Linked DNA regions of Mus musculus. The protein of the gene in region 1 purifies or fractionates together with the protein of each later gene. This does not show direct contact. Links are inferred from orthologs where the notes say so. Each region holds a gene or a part of one and is shown on either strand. Other genes may lie near its edges. The genes, in order: Ppp1r12a, Rpa1, Ppp1cb and Rhoa.

Evidence for each region.
Region 2: the proteins of Ppp1r12a (region 1) and Rpa1 fractionate together in Homo sapiens (co-fractionation; 3 studies listed by BioGRID, with this or other methods). This does not show direct contact. The link is inferred for Mus musculus from reciprocal best matches to the Homo sapiens genes PPP1R12A and RPA1.
Region 3: the proteins of Ppp1r12a (region 1) and Ppp1cb purify together in Homo sapiens (affinity purification with mass spectrometry; 6 studies listed by BioGRID and IntAct, with this or other methods). This does not show direct contact. The link is inferred for Mus musculus from reciprocal best matches to the Homo sapiens genes PPP1R12A and PPP1CB.
Region 4: the proteins of Ppp1r12a (region 1) and Rhoa fractionate together in Homo sapiens (co-fractionation; 3 studies listed by BioGRID and IntAct, with this or other methods). This does not show direct contact. The link is inferred for Mus musculus from reciprocal best matches to the Homo sapiens genes PPP1R12A and RHOA.

The regions. Positions count from the first base shown.
Region 1 is NC_000076.6:108,160,254-108,165,537, forward strand, and holds the start of Ppp1r12a (protein phosphatase 1 regulatory subunit 12A), read left to right. Parts: upstream 1-1,844; 5' UTR 1,845-2,146; coding exon 2,147-2,383; intron 2,384-5,284. UniProt on the Homo sapiens protein: Key regulator of protein phosphatase 1C (PPP1C). Mediates binding to myosin. As part of the PPP1C complex, involved in dephosphorylation of PLK1. Capable of inhibiting HIF1AN-dependent suppression of HIF1A activity.
Region 2 is NC_000077.6:75,299,055-75,303,947, forward strand, and holds the end of Rpa1 (replication protein A 70 kDa DNA-binding subunit), read right to left. Parts: intron 3,701-4,893; coding exon 3,614-3,700; intron 2,350-3,613; coding exon 2,251-2,349; 3' UTR 1,205-2,250; downstream 1-1,204. UniProt on the Homo sapiens protein: As part of the heterotrimeric replication protein A complex (RPA/RP-A), binds and stabilizes single-stranded DNA intermediates that form during DNA replication or upon DNA stress.
Region 3 is NC_000071.6:32,457,035-32,462,271, forward strand, and holds the start of Ppp1cb (serine/threonine-protein phosphatase PP1-beta catalytic subunit), read left to right. Parts: upstream 1-1,935; 5' UTR 1,936-2,321; coding exon 2,322-2,373; intron 2,374-5,237. UniProt on the Homo sapiens protein: Protein phosphatase that associates with over 200 regulatory proteins to form highly specific holoenzymes which dephosphorylate hundreds of biological targets.
Region 4 is NC_000075.6:108,304,718-108,308,959, reverse strand, and holds the start of Rhoa (transforming protein RhoA precursor), read right to left. Parts: upstream 2,801-4,242; 5' UTR 2,407-2,800; intron 2,164-2,406; exon of another isoform or gene 1,884-2,163; intron 1-1,883. Other genes in the region: Tcta (T-cell leukemia translocation-altered gene protein homolog), read left to right, coding at 3,016-3,238, 3,532-3,634. UniProt on the Homo sapiens protein: Small GTPase which cycles between an active GTP-bound and an inactive GDP-bound state.

The DNA.
Region 1 (5,284 bases):
TAAGAGTATACTCAATTCTTTTCTTTGATTGGGAGGGCCATATTCTGTGCATAGGGATTTTATAGTTTCACGTTAAGAAAATTCATGACCCTGCTCCATGGTGGTAGCACACAGATTTAATCCCAGCACTTGGGAGGCAGAGGCAGGCCAATTTCTGAGTTTGAAGTCTACAAAGTGGGTTCCAGGACAGCCAGATCTACATGGAGAAACCGTATCTGGAAAAGAAAGAGAGAGAGAGAGAGAAAGAGAGAGAGAGAGAGAGAGAGAGAGAGAGAGAGAGAGAGAGAGAAGAAGAAGAGGAGGAGGAGGAGGAGGAGGAGGAGGAGGAGGAGGAGGAGGAGGAGGAGGAGGAGGAGGAGGAGGAGGAGGAGGAAGAAGAAGAAGAAGAAGAAGAAGAAGAAGAAGAAGAAGAAGAAGAAGAAGAAGAAGAAGATGATGATGATGATTCAGTACCAAACACCACTGTTCTCATTGTTGTGCAGAGGTCTAGTGGTATGATCCTCAATACATTTTATGAAGATATAGATGTATTTCATGTGTGGCACACTCGTTTTGTGTTTCAAGGAAGTAGTTTTATCTTAGCTTGGATTTTATTACTATTCCTAACATTGAAATTCAGAATATTCAGTTCTATAAGGTGGTTCCCCCAGCATATTTTACTCAGTTATTCTAATCTACCAGAAAGGCAACATGCTGAAGAGTAAGAAAATAACTTTTCACTGCTGTATTCCCAGCACTGGGAGGCGGTTAGGGGCAAGGCAACTATTTTCTTTGGGGGTGGGGGGGTTCACAGTCTACAGGATTCCCAAAAAGGACCAGTGGTAGGGTTTTATGACATTATAGATCTAAAGTGTATGGGACGGGAGAGTGTTTAGAAAAGGCAAAGCTAAAATCTCCTTATGATGTTCTTTGCAACACAAGAATTTAAGAAATGGGCTCAAATAAATCGTATTTACTGTATTTTCAGAGCCTAGGAAGTCACGACTTTTTAGACATGTACTGGATAAATATCAGTCGAAGTAACTGCCTTCGTCCACATTCCTTTTGAATTCTAGACGCAGCCGGGTCTTTACTCCATAGAAAGCAATGGAGCTGAAACCGTAAATCCCTTAAAAGGTCAGGAGCAGTTAACAAGGCTGAACTAGCCCTCATGGGCAGTGCCACCCAGGCCGAAAAGCGATGGAGGAAGAAGAAATCAAAACAGGCTTAAAGACGGGGGAAAAACAAAACAACAATACTGAGCAAGCCTAAGAGGAAAGACATTTCTGCAGTGGGTGTTTGCAGGAAGCCACTGCAATTAACCGCAGGTCACCATCCCCTGCCAGTAGGCGATCACCTCGGTCAATGCCACCGGGGCCGTGGAGACGACTCCGACCCCACTTTTAAAACGCTCTCATCAGGATCGCCCGGGTTTCCCCCCGAGTTCCTCGGGAAGAGCAACCCCCACAAGCACCTAATGCACGACCCGTGTCCTCTCCATTCAAATCACGCAGCCAATAGGAAAACCCTCCGCCCCGGGCAGACGCCTCGCGCGGCCCGCCGAGCCCGGGAGGAGGCAGGCAGGTCAGCCCGGTCCCGCCTCGCCGCCCGACCCGGCTGCCTCTAGAGCTCTCGGTCCCGCCGGACGAGACAACCTTCCTTCCCGGCCTCCTCCCTTCCAGGAGCGGCCCAGCCCCCGGCTGCCAGAGCCACACCCGCTTCCCTCCGGTAGCGCCCCCGCCAGCGCTCGGCCCCCGAGCTCTTCCTGGGCCGGGCCGAAGCCGAGGCCCAGGCCGAGGCGGGAGCGCGCATGCGCACTGGGCCGCAGGGCGCCTCCCCGGCCGCGATCTCGCGAAGTTACGCTCAGCCGGGCCGCGGCTGACGGACTGACGGGCGGGCGGCCGTGCCGGGGGCGGGAGGGCGTCTGTGGTAGGAAGAGAGGCCCGCTCGGCCGGGCTCGCCCCAGTGCTCTGTGGGATACTGGAAGTCTCGAGCGTCTCCTCCCCGGCTCGCGGCTCCGCTCCGCTCCGGCCCCTCTCTCTCTCTCTCTCTCTCTTTCTGTCGCCGACGCGGTCGCATACTCCCCCCGGCGGCGTCCCCTCGCCGCCGCCGCCCCCTTCCCCCCCGCCCCAGCTCGCGATAAGAGGAGCCGGCGGCTGGAGAGGGGATGAAGATGGCGGACGCGAAGCAGAAGCGGAACGAGCAGCTGAAGCGCTGGATCGGCTCCGAGACGGACCTCGAGCCGCCCGTGGTGAAGCGCCAGAAGACCAAGGTGAAGTTCGACGATGGCGCCGTCTTCCTCGCCGCCTGCTCCAGCGGCGACACGGACGAGGTCCTCAAGCTGCTGCACCGCGGCGCCGACATCAATTACGCCAATGTGGACGGACTCACCGCCCTGCACCAGGTCTGTGTGCCCGGCGTCCCCTCATCCGGACCCCGGAACCCCGGGGCCCGCTGTGGTGCTCGCGCCCGGGGCCGGGGCTGAGGCCGGGGGGTGGCGGGAGACTCCCTGCTTGCGGGTGAGGGGGCGGCTCCGTCGCGGGAGGCTGGCTGGGGCGCGGGGCTCCGGGCCCCCCTCCAGAGCCGCTCGCCCGCAGCCTGTGCAGTTTGGGGGGGGACCCGGCCGATGTTCCTGGGCGCGGGGCAGAATGGACTGTGGTCCTCTTGGGGGCCTCCAGGGCCATTTGTGGACATGTGTCTGGGTCTGGTAGTCTGGGTCAAGCCGAGCCGGAGAGTAATGGGTTGTGCCGAGGCCCGGTGTCAGTGATAGACCGTGGGGCGGGGAGGGTTGTTGAAAAAAAAAAATCCACTAACAGGGACTCTTGGGGCAGATGGAGCCCACTGGCCTGGAGGTGGGCATTGGTGTTGGTGTACATTTTTAGGACTTGATTACAAATGAGGATGATGATATTAGTGATCCCGAACCCTTAAAGCCCGAACCCTTAAAGCCGGGTGCCCCGAGCGAACGATTTCCTGTTTTCTCCTTTATTACTCTTGGTCACTGGGGAGGGGGAAACGGGGTGTAATTAGCTAATCCGGAGTGGCTGAAAGAGAGGGGATTGGTAGTGAATCTGATAAGGGAAGTCTTCCCGAGTGGGCTTGCCCACCTCGTAACTGGAGTCTATGGGTTCCTGTACTCGAAGTTGGTCGCAGTCACAGATCCCTGAGTCCTGGCTCCTGGAGTGCACACCGGGGCTAGGGAAGATGGGAATAAACACTGTGTACTCCTCAAAGACAGTTGCCAAACTTTATTATTATTATTTTTTTATTTTTTGGTGGTGGTGGTGGGGAGGGGGAGAGAAAAAAAAAAAACCAAAGCTAATCACAACCTTTTCTCAAAATGGATGCTTTGTGCATGTTAAAGTTTTATAGTAGTCCGATTGGGATCTCTCAATGTTAGCCAAATAAGGAGAAACTATTGGCAATCCAGAGATAATGTTGCTTTGCCTTTAACAAGCCAAAAGCAACAGAACCCTTAGAGTTCTGCTTGAAAAGCAAGTTTAAAGTGCTGGTAATAGATGCCACGACAGATTCTTTCTATTTTCATATTAAGAAACTTGGAATTACTAGGAAATTTACAGTGAAAAAGAATTTTCCCGCTCCCCTCAGACTCCTCTTGGTTGTGTGGGAGAGCATAGCTCTATTTTGAATAATAGTGTGGTTAAAAACAGAGGTTGAAACCTAAGGCTCCGCACTTTGTACCTAAACTTTATTATTTTGTGCCTGTTAACTTTATACCTTTTAAAAAGACATGGTATGGAGGCATTTTCCTTTTATTGTTTCCTGCTTTAATAAGTGATGACCATTTAAAGTTTTATTTAATCAAATTCACATATCAAGCTTGGCGTAGCCTTTGTTTACAAAGCTGACTGGAAGGGCTGAAGTGCCTGACAATCTGCAGGACAGATCTGGAATTTAGAATGGCACCAAAGGAAAATATAGGGTGGTTCTCTAATGTAATGCAAAGTTCATTTGCTTACAGCTTAAGGCACATTATAAATCTAGATCTGGAAACATGGTTTTGAGAAGGAAATCACCTTCAGCATTAAAAATTTTTATCATATAACATTAAAAAAATAATCTTCTTTTTTCACATGTCCTTGGCAAGTTTAAATGAGAAATTGGTTCTGAGACACACTTAACTATATGTCAGAATAATTGGATAGTGGTTTATATCAGCATGTTTTCTAAAACTAAGTAGAAGTGTGAAGTTTATTCCCTTTGGAGAATTGTACTGGCTTAGAGGAAGAAGACAATGTCTAACATTTTTTTTTAATGTTGCAGTACTAGTTTAGATAGTTGAAAAGACAAGAAATTGGCTTTTAAAGGCTTGTGTTTAACAGTTTTTACTTATTTAAAGAAGCCAGACTTAATGATATCTTCTTGATTAACTGAATTCAGTGGTTTAGTGAATGTAGGTATAGTCTCTATGACTGCATATTTTGTTTGAGTTGACAGGAGATGTTTCTAAGTTTATGCCATTTGTATAAAGCATTTTTATTTGCAGTTGGTGTGGAGCACGTTCCTTAAATCAAAGAAGCCAAAGTCCCTAAAAGATGAAGCATTGTGGGGCTGGAGAGATTGCTTAGTGGTCAAGAGCAGTGGCTGTCCTTGGAGAGGTCCTAAGTTCAATTCCCAGTACCCACATGGCAGCTCACAACTGTCCTGTAACTCCAGTTGCAGAGGATCCAATACCCTCAAAAACATACATGCAGGCAAAACACCAATCTATGTTAAGTAACTGATTTTTAAAACGCAGCATTGAGCCGGGCAGTGGTGGCGCATGCCTTTAATCCCAACACTTAGGAGACAGAGGCCAGCTAGATCTACAGAGTGAGTTCCAGTAGCCAGGTCTATACAGAGAAACCCTGTCTCAGGAAAACAAAACAAACAAAGGCAGCATTGAAATGTTTGTGTTTTCTGTATTGCTCTCCTTTTCTCATACTTGTTTTCCATTATGACTGTGAAGGTAAGGACTTCACTTTGAGCGAATTAGGGACACACCAGTTAGTGAGATGTGAGAAGTGGAACCCCTGTGCTCCTCTTCATGGGATCTTAAGCTTTTCAGAGTCTCTCCAGTGACAATCAGCACTTGTCTTCTTTAGCTGACAATAAAAAGACTGACTTGGTGACTGGTCCTTAAATATTTTAATTCTGTCAAAAGATCACAAAATATCGAAAGTCTTTTACCAGTCTAATTTTTCTTTAGTCTGTTTACATATTTATTCACTCACCTTTTGTTGGGTAGAATAGCCTCTGGTTCACAGGTCAAAAGCTTTGGTCCTTCACATCCCACTTAGCACCC
Region 2 (4,893 bases), on another chromosome or scaffold:
TAGTGCAGGGTGCTGTGATATCAACAGCTGGGAGACAGAAACAGGAGGATCAGGACTTCAAGGTAGTTTGGGCTATAAAATATAAGCTTGAAGCTACCCACTTGAAGACTGTCCCCAACAAAACAAACAAGCTGGGTATGGTGGTCGATGCTTGTATTTCTAGTGTATGAGACGAAGGAAGAAAGCTCAAGCCCGAGACCTGCTTGGGTTACATAGGGAAGATGGTGCCTCAAAAACAGGACAGCCGAGGAGCAGACAGACAGGGCAGACAGGGTGCATCGATCTAAATCCACATACCTGGATTTAAAGTAATATCTGGGAGACTGGTCTGTGAGGGCCGTTCCAGAGATTTAATAAAGACCCACCCTGACTGAGTATGGGCAACACCCATGGGTGGCCCAGGGGTCCAGACTGAATAAAGGGAAAATGGGAGGAAGTTCAGCTGGTAGTGTTTCCAAGTATTAGGACCACAGCCTGGCCCCTGGCATGTGCTGGCCAGCTAGTCTAGCTCCAGTATCAAGCTTCAGGCCAGCGGCAGGGCACTGGACAGTTCCCACACACGACACACACACACACAGAGCACTAGCATTCACCTCCTGGTCTCTTCTTGACAACAGATAAAATGTAACTGGCTGCCACAGTGAGAGTCCCCTACCTTCCTCACCGTTAAGGATGGTACAAACTGTGAGCCAGCAGCAGCCATTTCTCCAGTAACTTGCTTTCCACAGATACTGTTATAGCACTAAGAAAAGCAACTGAAACATGGGGTGCTGTGACCCCTTGGCACCACAAAGCCATGGCAAGCTGAAGTGCACACATCACAGGCCAGGCCTGAAGATGCTGGGGGACTGCAATGCTGCCTGGATTCTGGCAGAGATGTGCAGCAGATGCCAAGAGGTGGGCTGCAGCAACCAGAGATAATTAATATGATTAGGAACACACTGAGCAGGCATGCTCTTGCCGAATGAAAAGCCTCGCAGTGTAATGACTGTTTTCTTCCTCGATCACGGTCTCCACGTTTCAGAGTTGGCTTGGTGTTAGGCTGCCGCGTAAACATCAATCCAACCCCGAGGGGCCAGATCATCGGTGTTCCTGGGCTCAATCGCCTTTCCTTTTGTGTTTTCATTCATTTAAAGATGCATTCCAGGGTTGCAAACATTAGTGAGAATCATCTCCAGGCCTCAGTCTAATCTCTGAGTCTGTAATGAGTTAACATCTTTCCCTAGTGAATATTTATTATGAAGGCTAATTAATTGCTTTCCAGTTACAAGAATCCTTTACAGTCAAAGAAAGTAGGATCCACAAAGATATACTGTTTATTCAAACAAAGCAAAGGAAACAAAGCTTCTTTCTTAAATTCTATTTAACATAGCTTTAATAAAGGTACACAGGTCCGCCTGGCAACCGAACGGTAACTGATGCAAACTGAAGCCATGCTCTGTAGCAGCCTGGATGTCCCAGTGCCACCTCTGTCTGCAGGCTTTGTCGGATTTACTAAGATTCTGTTATCTTCAAACAGGGATTGTGTCTCAAGTAACTGACCCCACTATGTGGATAATGAAGTAAATTATGCAATTTGGGGGTTTGCTTTTCCCCAAGGGGACAGCAAGCCAGTGCTTATCAGCCGTCCTCAGAGGAGACAATTCTGATTAATATCAGAGTCATCTGACTCAGTCTATTAAACCTATCAAACCCTGAAGGAAGGATATTCAGATATTAACGATAGGCCTTTGATTAATAATTCTACCTTGTTGCCATTCTAAGCATTAACAACCATGCAGTAACTCTGCAAAACAGACCCTTTGATTCCAGGCAGACGCACCCTCTGAACACCTGGGTTCTCCCCTACTCTTCTCCCCCCAGGAGGAACTCAAGACAAAAAGGTGCCACCACTGGAAAAGCACACTCCAGGTTACATAATTTGCCTCATTATCCAGAGTGGGGTTAATGACTTGTGACATAATTTCTGTTTGAAGATAACAAAATTTCATGAAATCCGACAAAGCCGGAAGGCAGGAGGAGGGGACTGCTGCCACACTACCGGTGGCTGAGAACTGGAGCGGAAGGTTCACACACAGCCCTCTGAGCTCACTGTCTTTGCTTATCAGTGAGTCCCAAGAGGGGCCCAGATGGGTTGCCAGCCTCCCCTAGAGGATCTTCATTGTGGAGCTGTCCCATGGGGCGGGAAGGAAGCCATTCTATTTCTGTTCTTCTCTCTTCCGTTCTGGCCACCAGTGGTACTTGCTCCCATCACATGTTCTTCCTGATGTTCGCGATCAGCCGTCTGCCATAGTCTCTGAAGTCCACGGGCTTCACGTCCATCACAGTGGCCTTAATTCGAGATTCATCCTTTAGAAAAGAGAGAAGCTGTTTGTGAGTGGCAGAGCCTGGCGTGCAGCGGAAGAGAGAACTTTCTTTGCTTCAGTGGCTTCAATGAGTCCAGCAGGAAGAAGGAAAGTTTACAAGTCTCAGAGAGAAAGTGCTGTGACTTCCTGGAGTTGGGCCAGATCCTCTTCCACAGACCCTTTCCCCATCCTAGGTGCCCTGTGCTCAGACCTAGCATCCTCCCGGAGAAGCCTCTGTCTTTCTATGGGTGCAGTGGGGGCCCAGAGCAGACAGGTAACTCACCCTAAAGCATCACTTTCATCTAGAGGAGCTCTGTGGTAGTAGGGACTGAGGCTTCTGCTCCAGCTCTGGGCAAGGTTACTTCTCTGCTCTTCACCATTCCTGTCCATCCCAGGAAGACAGAAAATCCCTACACTCTCCCTTGATCTACCCGACTTTCTGACACCAGCCTACCTATGTTCATTTAATACAACAACTAAAATATCTATTCACAGGCACTAAGCTGGTGATAACGCAGAATGCACAAACTCTGCGGCTGCAGGGGAGACGGCAGAGTTCCTCCTCCACTTGTCTCCTTGAACTAAACAGTGTCTTTGAGGCAGAACAGGGTGACACCTAGGGACACACAAGTCTAGCTGGGGGCCTTCATGCTTCCATGTGCTTAGTAATTAATTACTACATGCACCGCTGTTTACAAGTATGGTTAGGAGCCCGACTGCCTGGGTTGGCCTCTCGCCTCTGCCACTCCATGGCTTTAGGTTCAGAGTCATTCTCTGCATGCCTCTGCCTGTCTCTCCGTTGGTAAAGCTTGCAACAACAGCTCCAACACAGAAAGTGCTGTGAGGGTCGACAGTGGATAGATGGCTAGATAGATGGGGCAGGACGGACTGTCCAGTAAGCAGGGTTCATCATGGCTATGCAGCTCTGGACATCAGGATTAGTTTAAACACTTGTCAGGTGGGGCACTTTTACCAGCACGTGCTATTTGTTTAATATTCTGAGTTTTAGAACCTAAACTGTGGGAAACAAGAGTCCACACATAACATTTTCGGAAAGTACACAGAAAACAAAGGTCTCTGAAGGCTGTAACAGAGAAGGCTGTAGACGATCTCCTCCCTAAGTCGGCTTCCACACAAGAGCTGGCAGTGCGAACACCCGCCGCAACTCTCACCCCGTGGGTAAGTCCCGGAAACTGAGCTGAAATGCCGCAGTGTACAACAAACAGCAACTTCCCATCACAGCCCTCGGCCCCAGGAACCTTACTTACATTGTAGGTCTCCAGCTTGACCCTGATTCTGAACGTAAATGACCGGAAGTTGGCATTCTGGAAAACCTCTTCAAACGCCTGCTCGTTCTGCAAAAAACAAGACATGGGAACTACTGGAAAACACCCATTAGACTGCTGAAGAGACTGAGAAATTGTCATCTTGAAGGGTTGAAATCACTGAGGAATGGCTAATGACAAAACTGCTTAAGGAGAATTTTATTAAAAAACAAAACTCCTTCTGGAGGAGTACTGTGCTCCCTTCAGCATTAACTACTGTGCCAGGGAACCCACTGCCAGCAGACACCCAACTTCAAGGATAATCAAGCTTGCTACGTAACATGGCTGCTTACGCAGACACCACACACACTTCCTGTATGCTGGGCATCACCTCTAGCTTACTTATAATATCAAACATAAGTACCATGTGAGCGCTACAGGGCCTGGCCAATGAACAGCGATGGGAAAAATAACCTGCACATGGTCAGTAATGGGCAATCCACTCCCCAGACACTTCTAACCTCAGCTGCAGACTTGTGGGTACTGAGAACGGACGTGACTAAGTCAATTCACAGAAGCAGAGCCCTGTGCCTGTGCCAGGGAACGGAGGACGCTGCTCAATGGGCAGAGCTTCAGGGCGGGAAGAGATGGAAAGTGGAGCTAGGGCCCGATGACGTGAATATGGCTAATGCCATATTGTGTGTGTGTGTGTGTGTGTGTGTGTATGTATGTGTATGTGGTGTGTATGTATGTGTGTGCATGTGTGTGTGTGTGTATGTATGTATGTGTGTGTATCCAAAATGGTTATAAAAATCCCATACAATGGCTATGCTTATGTGTCTTTTACCACAAGTAAAAAATTTTAAGTAATCTTAGGAACACATTTCTAAAATTTGGAATACTTGTTGGGGAAGCTATCTGAGCCCCAGCATGAATCAGGAAATGGGTAGGAGAGGCAGGAGAGATGGCTTAGTGGTTAACACACACATGGTGGCCCTTTCCTGGCACCAACTAGGTCACTCACAACCAGGATCTGACAGCCTCTCCTGGCCTCCTCAGGCACCAGGCAGGAAAGCGGCCCCACATCCCTGCAGGTAAAACATTTGTACTGAAACTAAATAAAAACGGAGCAGAAGCTGGGCCTGGAAGTCCTTTACCTCCAGCACCGGGAAGCAGGTGGATATTTTGTGAGTTCCGGGTCTACATAGTAAAAACTTGTCGCCAAGTAAAACAAAACAAAAACTGGGGGCTGGTGAGATGGCTCAGTGGGTAAGAGCACCCGA
Region 3 (5,237 bases), on another chromosome or scaffold:
GAGTTCCAAGCCAGCAAGGGGCTGCATAGTGAGACACTGTTTCAAAATAAAAAATAACAAAAATGATGCCCCTCCCTGGAAAAAAAATCCCAACATTTTCTGCTATGACCCATTTCTTTTTCAATCTTCCAAGACACTGGAAAACCTGACGGGGAATGGAAACTCTGACCTTCTCTCTTGTTTCCTTGAACCCATAATTCTGTCGGACTGAATTGTGTCCTGTTTACAGCAACTCTCTTTTCAATGATCACTTTTTCTCTTTGTAGTCCCATTGGACGGGGGTACCCTTTTTAGCATGTCTGCATATAATTGAACTTTAGTTGTGGATAAGACTTAAAAGTTCTTTTCCTTGGGACTTATAGGGCCCATAAAAACATAAGACATCTACATAAGCATTCCCAAGTATTCTGAATTCTTAAAGTCATGGAAGAGATAGATTTGGAGAAATGGCATCAAAATATCTACCTCCATTTGTAACTGGTGTTTCAGTTTCTTAGTTTCTAGAAAGCAGAGAGTCAACTTTTTAGCCCATCTTTTTCAAGTTAACAGAATCTTCCAGCGTGCATTTTGGAAATAAAGCCCCTGGTTTAATCTGATCTTTCCCATGCTTGGTTTCCTTTTTTTTTTTTCTATTTCCTTCTTTACTTTTAAAAAGTATTTTTATGCATATGAGTGCTTTGTCTGCATGTATGTTTGTGTACTATGTATAGTGCCCATAGAGAGGACCGAGAGGGCATCAGATGCCCTGGAACTGTTAGGTCTCAAACCTGGGACAAATGACAGAGGTACTTATTTAACATGTGAAAGTGGTTACTGGACCCAGGTTCTCTCAGCCATTCCTACCTGTTACAGGGTATGTATGGCATGCACACTCCCTGCCCTAATCTTCTCTTTCCCTCCCCCTCAGAGTCATGCTCGCTCTGAATATTCCCAGATGTCTTTCCTCCCAACTATGTTCTCCCATTTATCTCTAATAAACCTTTTTCTTCATCATACCTAGAAGCAATCATGTCCTTTTCTTTTTATTTTATTTTTATCAGAATCAAAATTACAGATAGATAGTTGTAACCATGTGGGTGCTGGGAATTGAACCCATGTCCTCTGCAAAAAAACAGGCAGTGCTCCTAACCTCTGAATCATCTCTTCAGTCCCTGTATTTGTTTTTAATTTATCCCAACTGCAAGCATTTATTATGTAGCTGAAGATGACCTTGGGCTTCTGGATCTTCTGCCTCCATCTCCCAGTTGTAGGGATTACAGGTCTCTTATGCCCGGTAAATGTGATTTTTATCCTCTAGGAACCGAGTGCAGTAGAGAAATGTTTAAAAATCACAAGATAAGAGAATTAAGCAATATAAGAAATCAATGAACAGAAAAGAACTATAGAAAAGTGGTATCCTGAGTGTATGGAGATGTCGGGAGCGTGTAAAATCTTATTGCTGTTGACTGAGGCCCACTTTGAATCCTGTTTCTTCTAGGGTCACCTGGCGAATCAGCGACTCTGGTGATGTGATACAGAGCCCTTGATCTGCAATGTCAATCTTTTTCAACAGAGAAGTCTCTTATCTCCAGCACACCTGGGTTTCCAACATAGGCAACTGAAACCCACGTTTCCGGGTTAGCGGAAATACGAGCAATTGTTTTGAAAACCAGTGACTGAAACCTAGAAAAGAAAAGCAAGGCGGGAAGAACGCAATAGTTAACTCTGCGGAACCACCAGGCCCTGGGGAGCAGGGAAGGAAGGTCATTCCAGCCTACGCCGGCTCTGCGTTCACAAGCAAGGCAGGCTCCGCCCTGCGCCTGCGTAGTGGCGACTGTTCGTTGCAGTGGAACGCCTGAGAGAGGGAATCGCTCCTGCGCGTTAGCAACCGCGGAGGGGAGGGCGGGGAGCTGGAGAGGCAGGAAGGGGACGTGGCGCGCGTGCGCGCAGTTCGGCGCGGCTAGGCGGCCCGCAAGGGCGGAGGGGAGGGAGTGACGCTGAGGGCGGGGCTGTCCGTGGCGCTGCCGAGCTTTGCGGAGCTGGGCGGTGCCGAGGAGGAGGTGGAGGAGGCGGTGGCGGCTGGGGTCTGACGCGGCCCGGTTCCTGACGCGGCCCGGTTCCTGGGGGCCTGCTTGTTTATTTATTTATTTCCAGTGGGCGCCGCCAGCGTGTGCGCGCGCTGTCGCTGCTCGGCGGGGAGGGGGTGGGGGGAGGGCCCGCGCCCGGGGGGAGTTGGAGCCGGGGTCGAAACGCCGCGTGACTCGTAGGTGAGAACGCCGAGCCGCCGCCGCCGCCGAGAAGCCCTGTTAACGCTTTAGGGAGGAGAGTCTGGTGCCGACAAGATGGCGGACGGGGAGCTGAACGTGGACAGCCTCATCACCCGCCTGCTGGAGGGTGAGTGCGGCGCCGGCTCGTCTCCCCACCCGGCCGCGGGGCCCTTCCCGCTCGAGCTGAGGTCGGAGAGGAGGGCAGGCGGGCGGGCGGGCGGGCGGGCCGGGTGCCCCAGGAGGCCAGGAGCGCGGGCTGGCGGGCGGGCAGGCGGGGAGGCCGGGCCGAGCGAGGCCGGAGGCCCATCGGCTGGTACAGTCTTCCCGAGAGGCGGCCGGGCTCCGCTTGGCCGCTGTGCTGGCCTCTGCAGACCGTTCCGAAGAAGGGGCGAGGATGCCTGCCGCTGGGCTTTGTGTGTCCGTGGAATGTGTATTTCTCGGTTCTCTTTGTGCGTTGCCCTTGGCAGCCTCCGATGGTCGTTCCGGTAGTGAATTTTACATAAAACCTTCCCAGTAAGGCTCTCGGATCGTTTGCATTTTACTGGATGCTCTAGAAAGAATTAGGGAGAGGATACGATGACTAGTTTACCATTTATTATCTGGAGTATAAAAAAACAGTAAAAATCCTGAATCAGGTTAAAGACGTCCGTTAGAAATACGAAACGCCCGGATACATGTGCTGAAGGGGTTGATTTGGGGGCTTTTTTTTTTTTTTAAACATGTTTGAGCCGAGTTTAATTTCTGCACAAACTTAGCAAATGTCTGTTGTGAATAATCTCTTGAGCTTAAAAGGTATTTTACAAGTGTTCTCAGCATTTGAAGTTCCGGGTTCTTATGCTTTTATCGATTAGTTTTGTGTTGGTGGGAACATAAGGAGAAAAGAGGAGATGGAGAGGCCAGTAGTTAAATGTATTGGTCCGTTGGGGGATACTGTTCGAAGTTAAAGGCGGGTCTTGGTCAAAAGAACCCTTTTACGCTATAAAATTTGCGTCGTCACTAATTGTGGAGTGTGTAAAAAAGAATTGCGTTTTTGAGTGGTTAAGAGTCCTTTTTGTCAGCCTCCTAATGAATGCGTGTGTTTACTACAGCGAAGCTGTTTGTGTTTGGAATTTTACCAAAGAGCGTGGAGAGGGGTGACTTTTCTTTAACTAGTTAAAGTACGAAGTATTTATTCTCTGTTTAAAACAACAACAACAACAAAACAACTCTGTTTATATGCTCCAGATGTAAAAGCTTTCCAGCAGCCTTAAGGCTGAGAAAAAGGCAGAACTTTTACCAGGAACTCTTTCTTATTTACCTTCTCCTTTAGTATCAAGTTATTCCTGGGAGGCCCCCTGGTGCTTGCTGTGTTTACTGCTTGGGATTTTGTGGTCTTTAATTGATAGAAACATCTTGCTGGGTCTGTGAGAAATTTGTTTAGTTAAAAAAAATTTATGCTTGTAGTACATGGCTGGCTCTATTAGGGAAATATAGTTATTTTAAATCTTTATATCTTGTTACTCTTCGGAGAAGGGGAATTTAAGCCCACCACTGTTTTCATATAATCTAAATTTTAAATTAAATTTGGATCAGATTTTATCGCAGTTTATTAATATTTTTAATTTTTCATAAATACCTTATAGCAGATGCATGTATTTTAAACCGATCTAGAAGCCTTTAAATCAAATGTACTTCTATACAGTTACAGATGCTTAAATACAACTAATAGAGTGGGAGTTGTAGAGAAAAAGGGGAAAGTAGCCTGAGCTATATCATTGTTAAATATTTGGTTCTATCATCAGTCACCAGCACCCACCAGTCCCCCCTTCTTGGGTAAGAATACGTTCTTTTTTTCTAATATAGCAAGTGTTTATTGACTGCACTGCCAGGCACCAGGAGTCAAAGATAAGGCTCACTCCTCACTCAAGCAGCTCAGTATAAACAAGTGGCTTCTCAGTGTGTGCTAGCCTTCCTGCTCTTCCTGCTTTGAATGTACAATTTATTAGTAGTTTTGTTACATTCTTGTTCCTTAATCCAGACGAAGACTGCTTTTGTTGTTACTCTAAAATATTACCAGTCCCTCCTTCCCTCCCCAAGCCTAAACCTGTTCAAATAAATTTTGAAGTCTTGGATTTTCTAGTGAGTAAATTCAATCTTGAAAAAAAAATTTTTTTTGAGACAGGGTTTCTCTGTACCTGGCTATCCTGGAACTTGCTCTGTAGACCAGGCTGCCTCAAACTCTGCCTCCCCAAATACTGGGAATTAGAGACATGCACCACCTCTGCCGGGCAGCCTACTTTAGTTTTCAGTATTACATGCTAATTTAACTCAAATTCAAGTGGTGCTATTCTGTAAAGTTGCCTCGCAGAACAGAATAACCTGGTTATATATTTTGTGCGTCCTAAATGAAAGTGAACATTAAAAGATACATAATTATAGTTAAAGATGTCTAGGTTATATATTTTGTGTGTCCTAAATGAAAGTGAACATTAAAAGATATGTAATTATAGTTAAAGACGTCTATCCATAGCAAGACTACAGTTAGTGGTCATTGTATTGAAAGTGTGAAGAGAACCTTCGAGAATGTGTGCTCTAAGGACCAGTATGATAAATATGACATCCTTGGTAGATAAAATGTGTGGATTCAGTGTGTTCAGCCATTTCACAGTGTATGCACTTAAAATATGTGTTCCTAAAAGATGCAGTGTTGTCTATCAATTAAAGATTGCTTTTGGCTGGGCAAAAAGTTGTGGCTTTAATCCCAGCACCCAGTAGGCTGAGGCAGGCAGATCTCTGAGCTCTAGACCAGCAAAACACAACAGGAAAAAAACCTTGCTTTTGTAAAAATGTTTTTTTGCATTAAGAGAAAAAAATTGATCAGAACCTAGTCTCATTTTAAAGTGTTTACTTTATGTTACAGTTTATTCATTTAAAAATATATTAAACTCTGATGGCCAGTTAAGTGCACTCACTTTCAGTAACTACTTTTTATGTTACTTTGTTCGATGTTAG
Region 4 (4,242 bases), on another chromosome or scaffold:
TCTGTTTTTGTTTTTTATTCCCGAGACAGGGTTTCTCTGTGCAGCCCTCGTTGTCCTGGAACTCACTTTGTAGACCAGGCTGGCCTCGAACTCAGAAATCCGCCTGCTGGGATTAAAGGCGTGTGCCACCACACCCAGCTCTGAAGATCTGTTTTCACTCTTCTAGTAACTTACTTACACCCCTAATAGAGCAAGATGGACTTTTTAAAGGACTATGAAATCACTCCAACAAAACCACTCTCACACATGTACAGACCATGGTCTACTTGATACATGCAAATTCTCACCAATTCCATTTAAAACTGACTCAAAGGAGTCTTGAAAACATTCTAGCTGGACCTCATTACCTTATCTTTGCTAACAGTAAACTCTCAAAACCCGGTCCTTAAGAAAACCAACACACTCAAAGGCAAGGCCTAGCCAGAAAGGAACTACTTACAAAAACATGAAATTTGTTTCCCAAATATGCATAATCTGCATGGTAAAGAACCTGAAGTAACCTGGAAATTCTGATTTTAACTGACAGCACATGGAGAATAACAGAAAAAAAAATAGTTGTAGTCTAACTAGATGTATGACCTTCAAACATTTTAAGTCTCAGCAGGAATGGTGGCACACACCCAGTGATCCCAGCACTGTTCCGGAGGCAGCACTAGGAGCATGTGGAAATTAGAGACCAGCTTTATCTACAAATTAAGTTCCAGGTCTCAGGTCAGACCCAGTGTCTTTTTTTTTTTTTTTAAATTAAGTCTTAGGTCAGTGGTTCTTCTGGTATTATCACACCCACTGTTCTCTCTGCGGAGTAATAAGCCTTTCTCAAGAAAGAGAGAGAGAGACAGACAGACAGACACACACACACACACACACACACACACAGAAGGAAAGAGAAAAAAATTCCCTAAGCTCAGTTCCCACACCTACAAACGGAATTGGTTTGTAAATCCTAAAGTTTTTTTTTTCCTCCCCAGTCTAAAATACTACATCTATTGGGGGTACAATCAGTAGAGTGGATGTTCCTATTCTCCTGTTCAGTAGATTTTTGAGTAGAAGCTATGTAAGTTGAGCACTAGAGTTTGATCCCAAGTTGTAAGGCTGAAATGCAGCTCAGAGATACAGCACCTGTTCACTGTGTCCCAAGCCAACACCAAAGAGGAAAATAAAATAGGAAAAAAACAAGCTCCATATATTTTATGTCCCTAAGAAACGTCACTGCTCCGGAGAAATACTCCAAACAACATCTCAGAGTCTTCAATATTAAGACCTGATCTTGTTTTCTTAGTTTAATAATACGTGAGTCAAATGCTCAAACTAGCCAATGAAAGGTGAAAAAAACATTCCACATGGTACATACACATTTGGGCACGTGACACTAAGTGGCTAAAAATTCTCACCACATACCGCATCCTAAAATATAAGTTTTCCCCTTTCAGACTGGCATGGGGGATGTACATTATACGTGTACTACATATTATACATATATAATGTTATATATAACATGCAAAAAGCACTTATTTCAAAATATACCAGAAGACAAAACCAAATAAATAACTAATAGGTCAAAATTTAGTGATGACTATTAGAAAATACAAGTAGAACCAATTCTGGGGCAAAAAAGAAAAAAAATGGTGTCAAATTTTCCACTATCAGCTACTAAACATGAACTTTTTTTTTTTTAAATCAACTTGCCTGCAAAAAATGCAATTTTACGAAACCGACCTGAAAAGGGGAACCCATCAGTGATTCTTAATTGAAGTAATAACTTTAAGCAGAAATGCATCTATTTTGATGCAACCTCGCCAAATTATTATGTGTTTTTTCGACTGGAAAATACCTTCCCCCATAGAGTCATAACCGCTAAGATTTCAAAACAATCTTTTACTTACACAATCTCCAATAATACGGCACTCAAAACAGAAAATCCACCCAAACCCTCACTGTCTTCACCCGGTATAGAACGGGATTAATAATCCACGTTCAATGCAAAAGGCAAAATGGAGTTGTAAAAGAGTTTCTTGCCTAGTCCAACTCCCGACAGCCACACGCGCTTCGCAGTGGCAGGCTACCCCAGCGCGGTCGCGGACCGGCCGGGAGCCCCCGCCCAGCCCGGCGCAACCCTGAGAGGAAGCGACGAGGAGGGCGGGCGGCTAGGGCTCCACCAGGCCCGGCCGGGCGGGGGAAGGGGGACTGGAGGCGGCGGGGCGCGCTTCCGGGGACTGCGCGGGCGGGGCCGCCGCCTCGGGCGCGGGGCCCCAGGTCAGGGGCCGGGGCGAGGGGCTGCGGGCCGAGAGCAGCAGGTGGGGCGCGACCGCGGGCAGGCGACGGGCCGGAGGCCGGAAAAGTGCTTGCCGATCAGCCGACCAGCCGGGCCCGGAGCCGAGGCGGCTGGAGGGAAATGCTCCTGCTCACCTCAAGGCGAGGACTCCGAGTCCGGCCTCTTCGCGCTGAGGACGCTTGTCCGCGAGTCCGCGAGCTCCGAGCCAAGGACGGGCAGCTCCGTGGGAGACGGCGGGCTATGGAGAGAACCGACGGAGGACCGCGGGCGGCGGGCGGGGAGCGCGAGCGAACGAGGGCGGGCGGTGGCGGGAGGGCGGGGAGCGACGTGCGCGGCCCCGAGCGCCCTGCGGGCTCGAGCTGGCGCCAGTCGCGGCCCCGCGCACGCGCGCACACTCTCAGTTCAGCCACGATTGCTCAAGAACGCATCCACGCCCTGAGAGCTAGACGCTTAACCAATCATGGCAGACGCGTGGAGCATGACGGGAACACCGGGGCTATAAAAGAGCGAGTTGCTATTTTATCCTCACCGAATCACTCATCCTTTAAGCAAGCAGGGTGGGGCTGGGTGCGCCTGCGCGGTTTTAAAAACCCCTCCCCAAACTGCCAACACTTCGCGCAAGCGAAGTAGATCTTCCTTGCCTTGTATTACGCGTGCGCACTGACAGGCCTAACCCCGGAAGACCATACGCTTGCGCAGTAAGAACTACGGTGACAGTACTCCCGGTGGGGCGCTGGCCAGTCATGGCGGAGCCTTGGGCCGGGCAGTTTCTGCAAGCTTTGCCCGCCACGGTGCTCGGAGCGCTGGGCACCCTGGGCAGCGACTTTCTGCGGGAGTGGGAGACACAAGACATGCGAGTGACTCTCTTCAAGCTGCTCCTGCTGTGGTTGGTGTTAAGTCTCCTGGGCATCCAGCTGGCCTGGGGGTTCTACGGGAACACAGTGACCGGGTTGTATCACCGTCCAGGTGAGGCTCCCTACGAACCTCCTTGGCCCGGCTGTCCCTACCACCACCATACTGTACCATTGGGTTCTCCTGTGTCCACATAGACTACCACTGGTCCTCCAGGAGCCTCACTGTACCCAGACTTACAACCCCGTACCATTTTACACCACAAGCCCCTCATGCCCATCATCACGTTGTTAACTGTTTCTCAAAACCCTTCCTGGACAATACCACTAGTCCCTAGTATCCCAGCCTCAATCTCTATTAAACTATACCAGTGGCCCCTGACCTGACCTGGGCTATTGCCTGCTCAGATCCCCACCCTCAGCCTCCTGCAGCTATGGGTGTGTTCCTGCCTCCAGGTCTGGGTGGCCAGAATGGATCCACACCTGATGGCTCCACACATTTCTCTTCATGGTGAGTAAATCTCTGTCTATCCCAACCCCATGCTTGACAGGCAGAGAACTCTCAGCATGTGAGTGCACCAGCTTAGTGGCTGTGCAAGAATCCTTCAAGGCTAATGGTAGAGCTCAGGATTCCAGTTGGGGGTTCCCAGTGGCTTTAGAGCCTCTCATCAGCATGTTCAGTGGGGATGGATGGTGGTGTTACCTTAATTTCAGAAAGGTGATGTGCCAGGTCTATTGAAAACAAATCCCTTGGTTGGGAAGTCTTTCTTTAGGAAGGCAAGAACATCTATTCTAGGCAAGTACTGTACCACTGGAGCTATAACCCCCAGCCTAACAGTCTCTATTCTTAGCATACGACCTCATCAAGTCAACCTCCTAATCTCTAAAAACAACAGCTTACTTATCAGGACATTTCATTCAGCTAATCTCTGAGCTTCTACCACACGGCAGAGGTCACAGTACACCAGAAAACAAGGACAACTCAGACTCTGCCAGGCAGTGGTGGCGCACACCTTTAATCTGAGCACTTGGGAGGCAGAGGCAGGTGGATTTCTGAGTTCGAGGCTAGCCTGGTCTACAGAGTGTGTTCCAGGACAGCCAGGGCTTCACAGAGAAACC